Linked DNA regions of Oreochromis niloticus. The protein of the gene in region 1 purifies or fractionates together with the protein of each later gene. This does not show direct contact. Links are inferred from orthologs where the notes say so. Each region holds a gene or a part of one and is shown in the gene's direction. Other genes may lie near its edges.

Region 1 (7,717 bases):
GTCAATTAAAAAACCCTCTACACAATCAGTTTTCTATCCCTTCCATCACACCGATCCATCTCAGGTGGCGTCCCACCCTTCTCCTCCCTCCTCTCCTCCCTTATCCCTCCTCCCTCTTCTCCTCCCTCCTCTCTTCTCTCCTCCCTGCTCTTCCCTTATGACTCTGATGTCTGTGGAGAGCAGCAGAGGTTGTTGTTATTATTTCTCTGAGGCTGTAATCCCCTCTCTTCCCCCCTGCAGCCTCTGTTGAGTTATTGTAGATTTGACTGTGTGTGTGCGTGTGTGTGTGTGTGTGTGGTTAATATCCTGTGTAGGCTGCTGTGAACAAGCACAGATTTTCTTTTTGTGATCTGCTTCCCCGAGGGCCTTTGAACACATGCAGACACATTGAGGTGGGTGGGATGGAGGAGGGGAGGCCCTCACCCTGTGTGTGTGTCTGTGTGTGTGTGTATGATGGGGTTTACCCAGGGTGCACGTTAAAGCTGGAGGTGCAATACGTGACCAGTGGAGACTGATGATTGGCCCACAGCTCCTCCAGTCGCAGTCACCTTTTTCCATTCCATACAGATATATATATATATGTAGATAGATAGATATTAGTGCTGACAAAAGTCATTAGTGCTGACAGCACTAATATATATTTCCTGTAATTAATCTGTAAACAAACACTGATTGTTTCTGTCTTGGTTTTGGGGTGTTTGATGATTTTTCCCAAACTGAGCTGAATTCCTAAACAAATGTTCAGTACTTTAACTCCAACATTATTTACTTCTCCATGATTAAAGTGTTAGCACTTTACGAGCTTTGAGTGGAACGATTCCTGCAGGAAAATCCCTCGAGGTTTCAGGTATGAATCCAGAACCAGGTGCAAGAGAAGAAAAGAAACCCTGATGTGAACCACTGACCTGTGAGCAGCAGGAATGCTCGGCAGCTTTTAAATGTTAAAAATTAGTATCACGGGAGCTCTTGGTTTTTAAAGCATTGAGCATGAAAGTGTCCTCTAATTATGTTTATCAAGCTAATATTTGTTTAAAGCTTAGCTGATTGTGGAGTTTAAAGCTTTGAGTTTTCTTGAAGCAAACCAGCAGACCAAACAAAGTTTTTCAGCCCAGCAAGACATTTCTGCTCAAATGGAGAAAAGAAGTGAAGCAGAGGTAAGGGCTGATCTTCATCATCATCATCATCATCATCAGTGCGCCTGCAGCCTCGCCAGGTAAATATCCAGCAGCCCTTTCTGTGCAAGCCGGTGTGCTGAGAGAACATCACATCACGCCTCAGCGTCAGCTTGCATCACAAATGCAAAACAACACGCTCCTCCTCGCTCTGCTGCAGCATCCTCTGTCCACTCCAGCTCAGCGCTGTGATGTGTACTCTCATGCCTTAGCACGCAAACCGGTCCTCACAGAGACAGAAGTACAAGCGTGCACACACACACAGACACACACACAGGAGGAGGCAGATAGATAGGAATCCATTTTAAATTGCTGCCATGTTGACGCTGATGGTCAGTTTTCCTGCAAGAATGATCTCAGACTGAATTTCAGACCACAATGCAGAGCATCCTGAAGGACCTGGACTCCAGATTCCAGGATTCCAGGACTCCAGCACTGTTTTAATGAGCTACATCGTCAGCCTGAATAAACGCTTTGCCTGTTTGGGCTGAAGCTGAACTTGGCCTCCTCCTACACATCAGCATCTGCTCACAGGCTTGCTGACAAATCTCACCAAACCAATCACACTAACAAATGCTGCCTCGACCTCCACCAAGCACTCACACACACACAGCTCTTTAAATCCCTGCTCGGCTATATTTCTCAGCACCGATTTCCAAATCCATTTAGCAGCATCTGCAGCCTTTTCTGCACATAATCTGCGTGCGCGCTCTAAGCCGCCACAGAAACTGTTACTTTAAATGAGTGGCACGCATGACGTGGTGTCCTTGATTTTCCTGCTTGCACATGTCCTCTCTCTGCGTTATTATGCAGGCATCTGCTGTCAAGACTTCTTAAACTCATCACAGTGCTCCCCCCTCCACGCCACTCTCTGCATGCAGCCCTGAGCCTAAACACACTCACATATATTTAACACACACGCATGCGAGCACTCCGTGTGAGACGTGCGCACACACACGCACACACACACAGATGTGGTGATGTGAGGTTGGTGACGCTCCCTCAGGTGTTGCAGAGTCTGACTCAGGCCTACTGTCATCCCAGCAGTGCTGCTCGTCTCCACACGGGCACTGAATCTGACGTTTCTCTGCTACTGTACCCACACACACACACACACACACACACACACACACACACACACACACACACACACGGTTACGTGTCTGGAAGAACCCACGCAGATAAATGTTTCTGGAAGAACGCAGAACTTTGCTGCTGTTGTGCTCTGAGCTGTTTCTCATGTTTTAGACCCAGTTTTGTGTGTTTCTTTGTCATCATCGTCCTTATCCACATGTTTGTGTCCTTGTCTCCTGGTTTCCATTTCCTGTCTTTCTTGCCTGTCGCCTCTGATTCACTGATTGTTCCCACATCTTTCTCATTCTTCCTTCAGCCCAATGGAGGAGTCGAGGAGAGGAACTGAGGAGGCACAATCTGAGAAATAAGAAGGGGAGTAGTTTTGTGTTTTTCCTTCATCATTTTCTCTGTTTATGCTCATCACCGTCCTCAGGTGTTCCTCCGTTCAAAGTTTTTCTCTGGCTTGTTTTGTTGATGCTCTGCATGCTTTTGTGTCCTCTCTGTGACCTTCATTTCTTTGTCAGGGGGACAGAAAGTACTTTGATGACTGGCACCAATCAGACGGACAATCCACCCTGCCCTGCAACAAACCAAAGAACAGTATTCATATGAACACACGATAACGTGATAACAGAGACAGCATCAGAGAGCTGCAGCTGTAGATATAAGCAGGTGTTATCTGCTGTTCATAGGCTGGAGGGTGAATCATCCAGCTGTGCTCCGGCATTTATTTGGGGTGTTTTCATCCCTTTTGTGTCCTTTTTGTTTCATAATGCTCGAGTTGATTGTTTCTTTTGTTGCCTTTATTTGATAACAGAACAGTGAAGACAGGCAGGAAAGTGAGTGCAGGTCAGACTCAAACCCAAGCTGCCACACTCCAATCATGTGGCTTATGGTCACCTGTTCACCGCTGAGCTTTTCTCATTTCTTCAGCACTGTCGTCATCTCTTTTATTGTGATGGGTTTGTTATCTCTCAGTCCTCTTATTAAATAACTGGACAAAGTTAAATTGTTTGCAAGTTTGTTGGTTTTTTGTTGTCTGTCTGCTGTAGCATTATTTTAGCTAAGGCTGGTCAGTCTTCCAGGTGTGGACCTAACCACAGATGCCAGAGAGTAAGAATACTGTGTGCTGATCGGAGGAGGCAGGAACTTATAACCAAGAGGAACCAAAGTCCTAGGTGAGGTGTTTCAGGCACTGGGAGGAGACGCTGGAGCAGACCCAGGACATGGTGATTTGATCTGGGATAGGAACTAGAGCAGCCTGTTCGATGGGCTGGACATGGAACCCCAAATTGTTCCTGATGGGTTCATTGGAGTGAATGTAAGATAGAAACTACTCTGGCTGCTGAAGCAGAGCAGAAAATGACAGCTAAATAACAACCAGTCCTTTAGGTCCTTTAGGAAGGCCTCAGTGTCTCCCAGAGGAGACTCTTCTTCTCCAATGACCGGAGCAGACGAAGTGTCCGAAAGAAGATGGAACCAAACTGAACACACAACAAGCTGCTCAGAGCCTCTGGATCCTTGTAACACTTACTGATCTTTAAACAGATGAAAAACTGGTGCTTCTCTGCTGCTTTAACCACACACACTGATTTCTTCTGTTTGACTTCTGTTCCACTCACACAAACCCAGTTCCACAAGCAGACAGTGGATCAAGCATCACATCTGTTGCTTTAAATTTCCAGCTGTGAGTCTCATTCGTGGTCTCCAGTAGTGCTCCCCCTCGGTTCACCCTCCGCCTGAGAAATATTCTAGAGTTTGATACAATCATCATGTGATTTAGATGAGCGAATCTTATCCTGTATTTAAAAGTAGAGATGCTTGTCTCTGTGCTTCTTCTGTGTTTAAATGAGAACTTCTTTGTTGTGTAGCTGACCTGCAGACCTGATGCGTGTCTGCAGTTTTTTTAGAAGCTGTGTTGTTGTTATCAGCTGCAGCAGTGGCTCTGAACTGTGTCTCTGTAATTAGAGAGCTAATTTGTGAGCTGCCGTTGTTATGGATGCTGGTTGTTAGTGGTTACCTGTTGTTATGGTTACCGTTTCCCTGTGTAGCTGGTAACAGGACCTGAAGTACCGCAGAGTGGGACTCAGCTCCAACTCCTACACATGTTCATCAGGATGGCTGAGGTTTGGGACATTCTGTGACTGAACCTCCGTCAGTAACACAGCGGGATGCTTTCAACTCGGAGTTCAGAGTTTGCACACCTCAGGCCTTAAAAACAGTCATTTGGTTTTTTGGAATTGGAATGGAAATGGAAATGAGGATGAAAAAAAATCTGCTGTAAAATACATAATCAGTTCAGTTGTTTGTTTGTTTTTTCAATTTAAGCTAATACTACAAAATAAAAAGTTTATATAACTACATAAATCCGCTCTCCTTCCACTGCCCTGAAGGAACAGTCACTGATCACAGTCACGTGCAGGAGCTGTTTGTGTGATGGGGTTTTTTATTCAGCACCTGAAATCTGTCAGCAGCTGCTGCCAGAAAGGTTTGTACCTTCATGTCCGTCACAGGATGATTCCTGCACACTTCCTTCAGAACATCTTCATGTTTTGCGGGTGCTTTGCCAAATTGAGCAGACCCGGCTAAGTCCAGCCTGTGCCGGTTTGGTTTTTCACAGAGACATTCATATTGGCTCATACACAACTGAGTAAAGCACAGGACAGAAAACCGGTTGGATATTTTGATTTCAGTGACCTCGGGCTCAGGGTGGAGTTTGTTGTGCTGATATAGTTATTTATGTGTTTTTTCTTTTGATGTGTCTTTACACGCCTGCAGCCTGGTCTTAACATTTTCACATGTATATAAAATTATGCTTAAAGGTCAGCTCGTGGAGGCATAACATTCAAACCTGAGGTGCAGAATTTGTTATGTTCATCGTGTCAGGATATAAGGTTGGACCAAGAGCTTTTCAGATGTAAACACAACCACTCCAGTGTTTGTATATTCTTTATGTAGCACTTGTGAATGCACCTGCTGCCATGACCACCGGTCTTAAGAGAAGATTTCTCATAATAATAGAACACCGTTTGACTTTAAAGCCCTCCTTCCCTCTGGGACTGTGAAACCTGCAGATCTGTATCAGACACATGTGAACATCACATTAGAATGCAGCAAAATAATCTCTCATCTCTGTGCTAATCATCTGCTCTTTTTTCATGTCCCTGTTTGTTTCTGCTTCTCCTCCTCCCCCCCGATTTTATACCTCACAGCATCCAGCTACAGTTTCATGTTTTTGGAGCGCCCGCATGACAAACATGATAAAGTTTATTGTAAAAACCTCCTAATGGCTGTATCCAGTGCGTGAAATCGCTGCGTTGCCAGTGGCCAGTCACACAGTGGGATGGGTGATGGTGGGTTATTATTCATGGCTGCAGGAGTCTGAGAACAGTGCATTAATCCAGGGGCGGGGAGATGCACAAAGTTCTTATCATGATGAGGCTGTGGCATTAGATAAGGAAACGGATAAATATAGTGCTCCTGCTTTGTTTTGCTAATCCACCCACAGGGCTGAGAAACTAACCTTTTAAATAGGTCGCCCTCCTCTGCTTTTAGAAACAAGCGCTCTGGCTCTCTGTGTCCACCGGCGTGCATCTGCGTGTCCTTTGTAGCATTTTGGATGTTCAGTCGGTGCACTCTGGACGGAACTTGGTTAAAGATCTTACATTAGAGGTGAGGTAGCAGGAGTGGTCTCAGTGGTGATGCTTCTTAAACCCAGGAATAACTAGGAATTGCAGTTTGTATTCTTCTTATTTTATTATTATTTGTTTTTTGTTATTAATTTCAACCATAAACAGCACCGGAGCGTTGATCGCACCCTGACAGTACAATCAAGAATCCTCAGTCTAATCACGCCTGCATACTATCACTCATAAAAAAAACCCCATACCAATTATATTTGAACAAAAGCAGTAGGATAACGTCAGACACAGTTTTCTGTTTTTTTTTGGTTGATTTAAACGACCCTGCACAATAACTGGCCTGGCTCTGCTGGAGGTTTCTTCTTGTTAAAAGGGACTTTTTCCTTCCCACTGTCGCCAAAGTGCTTGCTCACAGGGGGTCATATGATTGCTGGGTTTTTCTCTGTATGTATTATTGTAGGGTCTACCTTACAATATAAAGCACCTGGAGGTGACTGTTTTGATTTGGTGCTGTATAAATAAAATTGAATTGAATTGAACTGAACTGAACTGAACTAAGTCTGTGCTGCCTTGATTGGAAACACTGCTTAGATGTTGTGCTGCGTATAGGTTTTTTATACTATAAGAGCCAGAAATCAACACCTGTGTCTGAAGAATGGAGCTGATTTTCCTTTTGGGGTGTTTGTAATGAATAATCTGACCAATAATATGGCTGCTGTCAGGTTTTTGTACTAGCACAACACTGAGCAGTGACTGAAGTTCTCTTGACTTCAACAGCAAGATACTGAAAAGCACAAGAAACAAAATATTCAAACTTATCATGAATTTTTCATAAAACCAACAAAAATAATGAGAACAGACACAAAAAGATGATTAAATGCAGAATAAACTCCACAGAACACAGAAACAAGGATCCTTCATGATTACAGCAAAAACAGAAAATGATGCTCCAGCTTGTTGCTGGTTAATGATTACAGTGTTGACATAAAGACTCACATGGCTGCATGAGATCCAAACATGATAGTACAAGAACTCACTTCAACCATAAACTAACAGCTGACCAGCAGCGGTGGGCTGATGGGGATGTGTCTTTATGTGCAGACAAACATGAGCTTGTGTTCTAAAGAAAAGCTGTATCCATCTCCCTCAGAGCCAGCAGGATGAGGCAGAGTGTGGCCCCAGGGCCGAGCCAGCAGCAGCAGAGCAGCAGAGAACATGAGCATAAAGGAAACAAAGAGGCGCGCATGAAAGCCGCGAGTCCATGGATGCCATCATGTGGAAAGCAGGCCTTTATGCTCACACTGTAAGGAGATGGATGTGTGCGCAATAAGGAGATCTGAAAGCTTGCACACGTGTGCTGCTGTGGCAGTAAAACACACAAAGGAAGGTCTGATGTTGTGTAAGGAGTGAAAATAAAAACAAAATCACAGAAAGAAATCACCACATGACCTCACAGCATCTCAGTTTATTCTGTTTTTCATCTATCTGAACTCTGAAGCATCAATTTGTGTCCACAAACACCAGCGAGGTCATCTGAGGTTGTGTTAGTCAATGATAATCCTCACTCCTGTTAGGGGTTATATACAGACACCAAAACAGCTTCTGCATCAGCCTGTCAGTATGTTTATGTTAACAGGACTTTGTGAGGACTGACTCACCACTGGTGCCTCTGGTGGCCGGCAGAGGAACAGCAGCTTGTGGTTTCAGATGGAATTTTATGGTCGCTGTCCTCCGCAAACAGTCGGGCTTCAGGCCTGAGTGTGCAGGCAGGTTGGGCTGTCTCTTTATTAGGAACCAATGCAAGGAGATCAGAGAGGGCTGACAGGGAGA
Region 2 (7,875 bases), on another chromosome or scaffold:
CCATGTTCACTGGAGAATTAAAAACTGCAGCACTCGTTGCTCGCAGATGTGACCATCACTCTGCTGTTTCCCCAGGAAATCCCAGAATCGCCGAAGAGCTAGACCTAATTTTCTACATTTATTTGTATTTTTGTGATGGCTATTCCAAATCTCCAGTACATCTTTATCACAGTTGAGTTCATTCAGACCATGAAACGGTAGAGAAAGAAAGCAGTCTTGATGCTAATATAACACATAAACAGCAGTATTCCAATTTCTTTAATTACATCCTCATTATAGTGATTCAATTAGAAATGTTCAGACACAGCCTCGGGATGCATTAAGCTGTTAGAAAAGCATCTGTCGATCAACACTGCCAATCTGTCTGACTTCACCTCTCTTTCCATTAACTCTCTTAAGCCCTTTTACACACACACACACACATCATCTTGGGGATGCTATACTTTTCACATGGTTACTCAAATCCTCACAAATGTGTGGAGTTAAACTCCCGGTAAGTGGCACTTAAGCCACCGTTGGATGACTGGCTGACAGTTACATATGATACAGGTGTGGTAATTCTGTGTGGCTGAGATCCCTGAGTAAGCTTTTGTTAATTAGCAGTAAGATACTGAATGTGCACAGAAGTCTGAGAAAGCATGAGATGAAACGCTTAAACTACTTTTGACTTGATATTCTTAAGCTTTATTCTGATTACCCATCTTGAAGAACTGGGTATTCAGAATATAGCTGGATAACAACCCTGTTTAATTGTATGCTTAAAGGGAATCGTTATCTGTGTTGTAGTCCTTATAGATGACTACAAAAAGCCTTTGCTTGCTAAACTAGCTTGGACGGATTAGGTCTACAGACTTGCTAGTTCACGTACCGATCGCAGCTCGACGCAGACGGTCTGCCCCTGAAAGCGAATTAGTGAAAGACTCCGTCTGACACTCACGCCAGTGACAAATGTCAATTTTGGAGGTCCTTTTCCCCTTTCAGCCGCCAAGGGCATTCTTTGTGTTTTGTGCTCAGTGTGTGGAATTGATTCGGAGAGCCAGTGCCTATTTTTAGAGATAAGACTGCGGTTGTGCCGAAGAATCAGTGCTCACAACAGTACCCAAGAGTACTTCTGTGGTCAGAGAAATTTCTGATGCGCCGTTCATTATAGAAGTTGTCTTAGCTGCAGTATATGCGCTGTAGTTTGGAAGAGAGCAGTTGTCTGAGCTCCTGTACGGCCAGAACAGACTCCTGAGGCTTCATTATGGCATAGCAACATCGATGGGCTTAAGCCTCTTTCTGACCAAGGCTGTTGAGTTGAGCAGAACATAGTCAATAATTTTGATTGTGTGTGTGTGAGTTCTGCAGTAGTCTTTTTCCAAGTTTTGCTAATAAAGGATGTAAGACTGGAAGAAGCGGAATACATTTTTATAGCCGTTTGTGTGTATTTACAGCTGTTACATGGCGAATTTGAAACTTAATGTTGTTCTTCAGTCTTTTGTTTTCTTTGTCTTCTCTCGCCTGAAAAAGGGCGCCGTTATTGGTTTTGGCGAATTTTAGTCGACTGCAGTCGTGATCAGGGAAGCACACATGTTCTGCTCTGAACATTCAGCTTATCTCTCCTCTTCCTCCCCCACACACTGAATGAGGTACAGGGCCCTAGCAGTCCTCTGCATTCACTCACTGTGATATTTTAGAAGCTCAGTAGATTTTTTTTGGGATATCCTCAAATCAGTCACTTAATCAAAGTGAGGAGATTAAGGCCCCCACACAAGAAAGGGCACTGTAATAAGATTTGCTCAGTACTGCTAACTAACAACCAACTACTGAGTCCAGATCTAACAGTAGGAACTTAAAAGGTTTACAGGTGTTGTTTGGTTGTTTCCTTTAAGCATTAATCTAAAAATAGCTCTTTATTGCTGCAGAACAGTTTAACACGGTCGGAGCCACCCTGCTGTGTTCCTCCTAAACATATTGTCACTAATTAGCAATTTAACAGCTACACTCTAAGGCATTATGTGAAGATTAGAGTTACTTATTTTTAGTACATCATCGTTACGACTGATTTATCTTGCAACAAACAATGAGTAGAAGTTAATTCATTACAGATGTTCTCTATGATGAATGAATACAAAGCAGCTTAATGCTCAGGCCAGTTTTTGCTCGATTGTGGTCTGATTTCATCAGAAATCCTGGTGAAAGTGTGCATGAAAGACTGCAGGAGATCCTGAATGTGCACACATTTGTTCAAAATGACTTTGACTCCAAGTTCATTACCAAGCCAGTAGGCAGTGTGACCACTGCAGTGCAATTTGATGCGTCATCCAAGTGAAAACTTGAGTAATGAATTAAACGCTGAGGTGGTTTATTAAGTTATGAGTAACTGATGAAGTCTTCCCCTTTGGCATTGTCTTGACTCTGCTGTAGAAGTGTTGCATGTTGAAAAAGTGAAACTAGGAAGTCTTTTCTTTATTTTTCCTGAAGAAAGGAGGGAATAAAAGGTTTTACTTATCAGCTTTTCACTTGACAGCAGTAGGTGTATACTCCTAAAATATCTGTCAGGCATGCTCACAGCAATGCCTGCTAACATTTCTTAAAGAGAACAGTCATGTCATCATGCAGCGATTAGGTGTCAGTCATAGTTAATGATTTCTTTTTCTCTTCTCCTTCTCTCTGGGCTTTTGGTCCTTTTTTTGTTTTCCAGATATAGTCAGAAGGAATAAAATACGTACTGCCAGTCTAAAGAAAGTTGGCAGATGTACCTGTGGCGAATTATTAAATCATAGTAAATGTGACAAGCATGATTTATTGGATTGAACATATTTTTTGTTGGTGTATTTATAGATCCTGTTGTATTTGTTAATTAGAAAGCGTTGGTGTGTGTGGTGTCATTTTTAGTTTAGACATTTTACAGGTCTCTTAAAATGAACATTGACTGTTGCAGTTTAGTGTTGGTGGTGGGAGTTGGACAGTCTGCAGAAAATGGCAGGAGGTGCAGTAAGTTAAATATGATTATAGAGGATTATATTGATTCCTTTACCTTTAAAGAACATGTAGATTTCTAAAATTGAATAAGTAAAGTGTTCCCACTAACTTCCTGTGACTCTGGGAGTTTAGTCAAGGTTCAGTGTAGATGTAAAGGTTGATACTGTATCTGACAGCATGAGCTCGTGTTCCCGGCCTTTCCCAATTCTCAGTACCTTCCACATGTCACGACTCTTGGGGGTCCTGGAGTAGAGCAGCGTGGATTGTGGCATCATGTTTCTACCGCAGCGGTGGCAAATGCATAAACCATACCCTGTGCTAAAGCGGTGTCTTGGTGTATTCAGCTGCTCTGTTAAAAATGAGCTGACATTGATGGTGAAGGGAATGTACCCAAATCTCTTCCCTGTCACCCTGACATTGAGTATGATTAGTATTTTGTCATTATATTTCTCACGGTCTTTGTGGCAGGAAGGAGCATTCAGAAGGTCATTTGTAGCTTGTTTTCTCTGCTTTCTGTCCACAGTGTGAAACTTAAATCAGATTTCAGTTCAATTAGACCACCTTTTCCCCCTCAGGGCTCTATTTAAGTCTAGGAGACCAAAAGGTCGCAAATCTAAGAATAGGGCTGTCAGTTAGCAGCAGCCTGTTTGCTGGATTCCTTTGATGGAGGGTTTCTTCTTTGACTGCTTTACTATACGTGTCTGCTACTGATGGCATCTCTTTTAATTATCTCCTTGGCACACTCACTGATCCACTCAGATAAGCTTCAGTATTATATTACTGAGAGTGTGCTTCTCATCTACTGTCTCATCAAGCTGCAGTCAATGTGGTGTTTACTTTTCAACCTCCAACCATTATCGTGTTTCTACTGTTCACTCTTGCATGTTCCTCCGTTCACCTGAGCGTGCCTGTTACTGTTAATCAGATCCGTTTCTAATACGTGGTGAATATAGATGAAATGATGACGTTTTGTTGTACTTGTTCTTGATCAAGCTTATTTTGCTCGGTTGAAATTGAAAAGATACAGTAGTACACATCTACGCGCATCACATGCCTGTCTTTAATATATATTGTCATAGATAAAGTTGCATAATAAATGTTTCATGGGCAGTTGAACAGACCCACGTGAGAAACCCCTTTTCTGGGGCAATAGGCAATGCAGAGTCTTGAGCATTCATCCTTCCTTTTTTTTCTCCTGACAGAATAACTAAATGAAATCACACTGCAGGGCAACAGACGACAGATAAAGATGAGCACAGAAATGCACCACCCTGTCTTTGTAGAGCTGCTATAAACACACAAGATTTCAGTGCATTGCTCTCTCACGCTGCTCTCTGAATATTCCTCCTCATAGCTTCTCTTCATATCCCTCCCACCACAACCCCCCACCCCCTCGCTCTCTCGTTCTCTCTCTCTCTCTCCCCTCCCCTCTTCCATCCATTCTCTCTCTCCCCTTCCATCTCTCTCCTGTGTGCTCCGTGCTGCTTTATGCTCAGCACAGGGCATACAGATGTAAGTTTAATCCAGGCAACAGTGAGAGGTGAATATGAGGTTGCCCTTTTACTAACATGCAGTAGTATTGAGTCGAATATGCATCAGCCAGCGTAATTGCCGAGGCGGACCTAGAAGGACAGATGAAAACCTCCTGGATCTGTGTGTCGTGTTTTATTCTTTCAATCTCTCTGTGTGGATCTACGCGTTGCCACTCTTAAAGCTTGGCACCAAGAGGTGCAATCTCTAACACTAAGCTCAGTTTTAAAGAGGAAATTCCAAGACTCTGAATCTGCCTGCAAGCTTTTGATTAATAGAAAAAGCAAGAAGAAGACACCCGAGAGAATCGAGGAAAAACTTAGTGGGGAATCAGCGTTTTTCTTTTTTTTTTTTCCTTTTTTCCCCCTAATTTTCTTATTACTTTAAAAGAAATTGTTGCTTTATCCACTGCATTGTGTCAGACTTGAGTTTCATGTCTAAAGTCTGCAGTGACTGCAGGTTTCTATAATGTTTTGCTTGAATTTGGACTGCGTTTGCCAGGACTTTATTTTCACCTGATCAGCAATCCATCACCATTTTCACACATTTCCTCTGCCCTCCCACCCCTTATACCTTTTGTTTTGTTTTTTCTGCAACATTTTGTGCTGGACAGTCACTCTATAGACTGGGCAGTGATTTCTTGCAGAGGCTTAGTGTGAAGCTTGATTCTTGTGAGTGAACAGTCTCACATTCCCGAGAGGATCCTTGGGCTCTGCACCTCTTGGTGTTTTCCTCTCCTTATTCATAAAGAGGAGAGTTTAATTAGGGAATCTGCAGTTGGGACAGTCGGCCAGGAGCCAGAATGCAGGTGTCATTAGTGTGCACGGATCATCGTGGTGGGGTAAGCCGCAACACGGAGGACCGGCTAAATCGACAGAATGCCAACAGCCCCAGCACAGGCACCCGCAGCAAGTTCAGAGCAGTGGCGATGGTGGCTCGGAGTCTTGGACAACTCTCTGTGCAGAGCGTGCCTTCCTCCAGCGAGCAAAGTGTGAAGACTGGCATGAAGTATAGGTAGGGCATGTCTTAACAGATTTGAATCTGGCTAAATACCAAAACTTCAAGACATTCAGCATTTAAATTGCCACATCCAATCAAAGCAGATTTTGAATGATGGTGGCTGTCAAATTCTGTGACTCCACCACGACTACTTCACCAAAAATGGATGTATTGTTTTCCCCTTTGATGTGCTAATTTGATTTTTTTATTCCTTTCCGATTGATGACACCTGCCACGAGTTAGTTATCAAAATCAGTTATTTAAATTTACCTAAAACTTTAACTATTGAGCAATGAAGAAAAACTGTAATTTTAACTGATTTTATTTCTATTTAAGATGCACTGGAATACTCCCTCTGTAGTTAGTTACTAGTAGTTAGATACTAGTACTTTCTCGTATTATTATCTGTAGTGCACTACTTAATACTTAAAACTACTTAAAACAATAATGTGGTAGTACCACAAGTATCACTGCAGATTGCTTTTAACTTGGTGTAACTAAGTTGATTGTATTTCAATTCCCAAACTAAATAAACTGATGGCAGCTGTCAATCATTATGGAAAGAGCATGCTAATGGAAATTGCCATTGAAATCACTGAAAAACATTAACACGTTGCACTTTGGCTTCTGCCTGCAACATTATAAATGTTAATAAAATACTGCATTGAATTTTATTCCACCTCCCCAGACAGCTGGTTACTGATCATGTGCTGGTAAAATAGTTTCTTCTATCACTTAAGGCAAATTATTTAACCCGTGTGGTGGACATGAAGACTGATGACTGTTTGTTATCTAACACAGGACATACTTACCATTTAAGCAAAGGTTTTCCTTTGGAAATGCCTTTAAATTAAAATGCAAATGTGTTCTACATGTGCAGTGAAACGTTCAGATTAGTCCAGCTTTGACACAAGGGCTGAAAAAGCAGCAGAATAATAGTAAATGTGGAATTGCTTTAAATGCATATTGAAGCACTGAGGGTAAAAGAGTGAATGGCAAATTGAGCCGTAGTACAGAACAAAGAACTCTGCATGCATCAGTGAGAAAAAGCAGTTCACCTTTCTTTTCAGCACCGTGAGGTGCAGCACATCATGAACTGCAGCAATCTGGTCATTAATGCAGTGGATCTGCTTTGCATAGGAGAGTTGATTCAGTGTTGTCAGGACTTATTTTTAAATAATGACTCTCTCTGTATATTTTCCCACATGTGACTCAAAGATGATCAAAGGTCGATAAGCTTATTTAAAAGCAAGAAAATTTAAGAGCGGTATGAATATTTAAAGGAACGTTTTATCCATTTAACTAGCAAGTTGCTGTTGTCTGCTATATATAAGCACTGACTAATGTACTTTCTTCATGTAAGATATACTTTCTCTTTTTAAATGTTCTTGTTTTAGGTACAGTGATTAAAAAATTTAGTCAAATATTTTTCTTGACTCAAGCCACGTTTGATACGATACATGGACGTTTGATTTTTGCAGGACAATATAGGAAAGTAAAAAATACCCTATCAAGAACATTTTTTTTTCAATTTTGATCATTTTATTAGTATAATAGCATCTTAAAGCTCAAACCTAAAGGCAAGAAAAACTGAAGGTAATGTCGTGTCAGTCAGTGTACATTTTCATTAAGAAATGTGAAGTGTGATTGTTGACTGACAACATGGAGAGCTGTTTGGAGGCAACACATCCATCCTCAGTACTGTTTTCAGAAGCCACATCACAATCCTTTGCATCTAATTTGCTAGCGGCAGCCTCGTCGTCTTGGCGCACTATCATTATTGAGGCTAATGACAGTGAATGAGTAAAATCATTTCCAGCTCAGGGGGCCAGTGGCTGTTTGTGTTCTTCTCTTCCTCATTGTAGTTCATACTACATAACTGGCTCGGTGTTTGTGAACCAGACCCGTATCTGATGTAAACTGAAGGTAATGCAGGCCTAAATGTAGCATGAGGCTCAAAGAATCATGGACTGAGGCTACGACATAGTGTTTGTGGTTTTGTTTTGAAGAGATGCGACTGAAAGGGAAGGAAGGAAGGAGGAGAGTGAAAGCAAGAAAGGGAGATTGCTAAGGTTAATGCTGGTGTAGGCACTTTGCCCATGAGGAAGTACAGTTGGCTGGAGTGATCTGTGCTCATGTCACTTTGAAACATGCCTCTTGGAGGTGAAGCTTGCAAGCTCTTTAAAATGCGAGGCCATGTTAGTTTTTATCCTTAAGCATTTTCTCCTCTCTGTTAAAGAAAGATTGAATTTTTCATTATGCCGGTTTGACAGCTGAAGAGGTTGGTGGTTTTATAACTGTGGCCCAAAAAGAATACAGTTAAAGCTGCCTTATCCAGCCAACAAAACTTCCCCGAGTATCCTCACTGCAGAATAGCAGTGT

Evidence for each region. The genes of interacting proteins can lie anywhere in the genome.
Region 2: the proteins of potassium voltage-gated channel subfamily A member 1 (region 1) and kcnab2a purify together in Homo sapiens (co-immunoprecipitation; 3 studies listed by BioGRID and IntAct, counting the BioPlex papers as one, with this or other methods). This does not show direct contact. The link is inferred for Oreochromis niloticus from reciprocal best matches to the Homo sapiens genes KCNA5 and KCNAB2.

What each region holds. Positions count from the first base shown.
Region 1 is NC_031981.2:22,387,611-22,395,327, forward strand, and holds the start of potassium voltage-gated channel subfamily A member 1, read left to right. Parts: upstream 1-4,708; 5' UTR 4,709-4,734; intron 4,735-7,037; 5' UTR 7,038-7,717. UniProt on the Homo sapiens protein: Voltage-gated potassium channel that mediates transmembrane potassium transport in excitable membranes. Forms tetrameric potassium-selective channels through which potassium ions pass in accordance with their electrochemical gradient.
Region 2 is NC_031970.2:18,705,509-18,713,383, forward strand, and holds the start of kcnab2a (voltage-gated potassium channel subunit beta-2), read left to right. Parts: upstream 1-4,868; 5' UTR 4,869-5,296; coding exon 5,297-5,508; intron 5,509-7,875.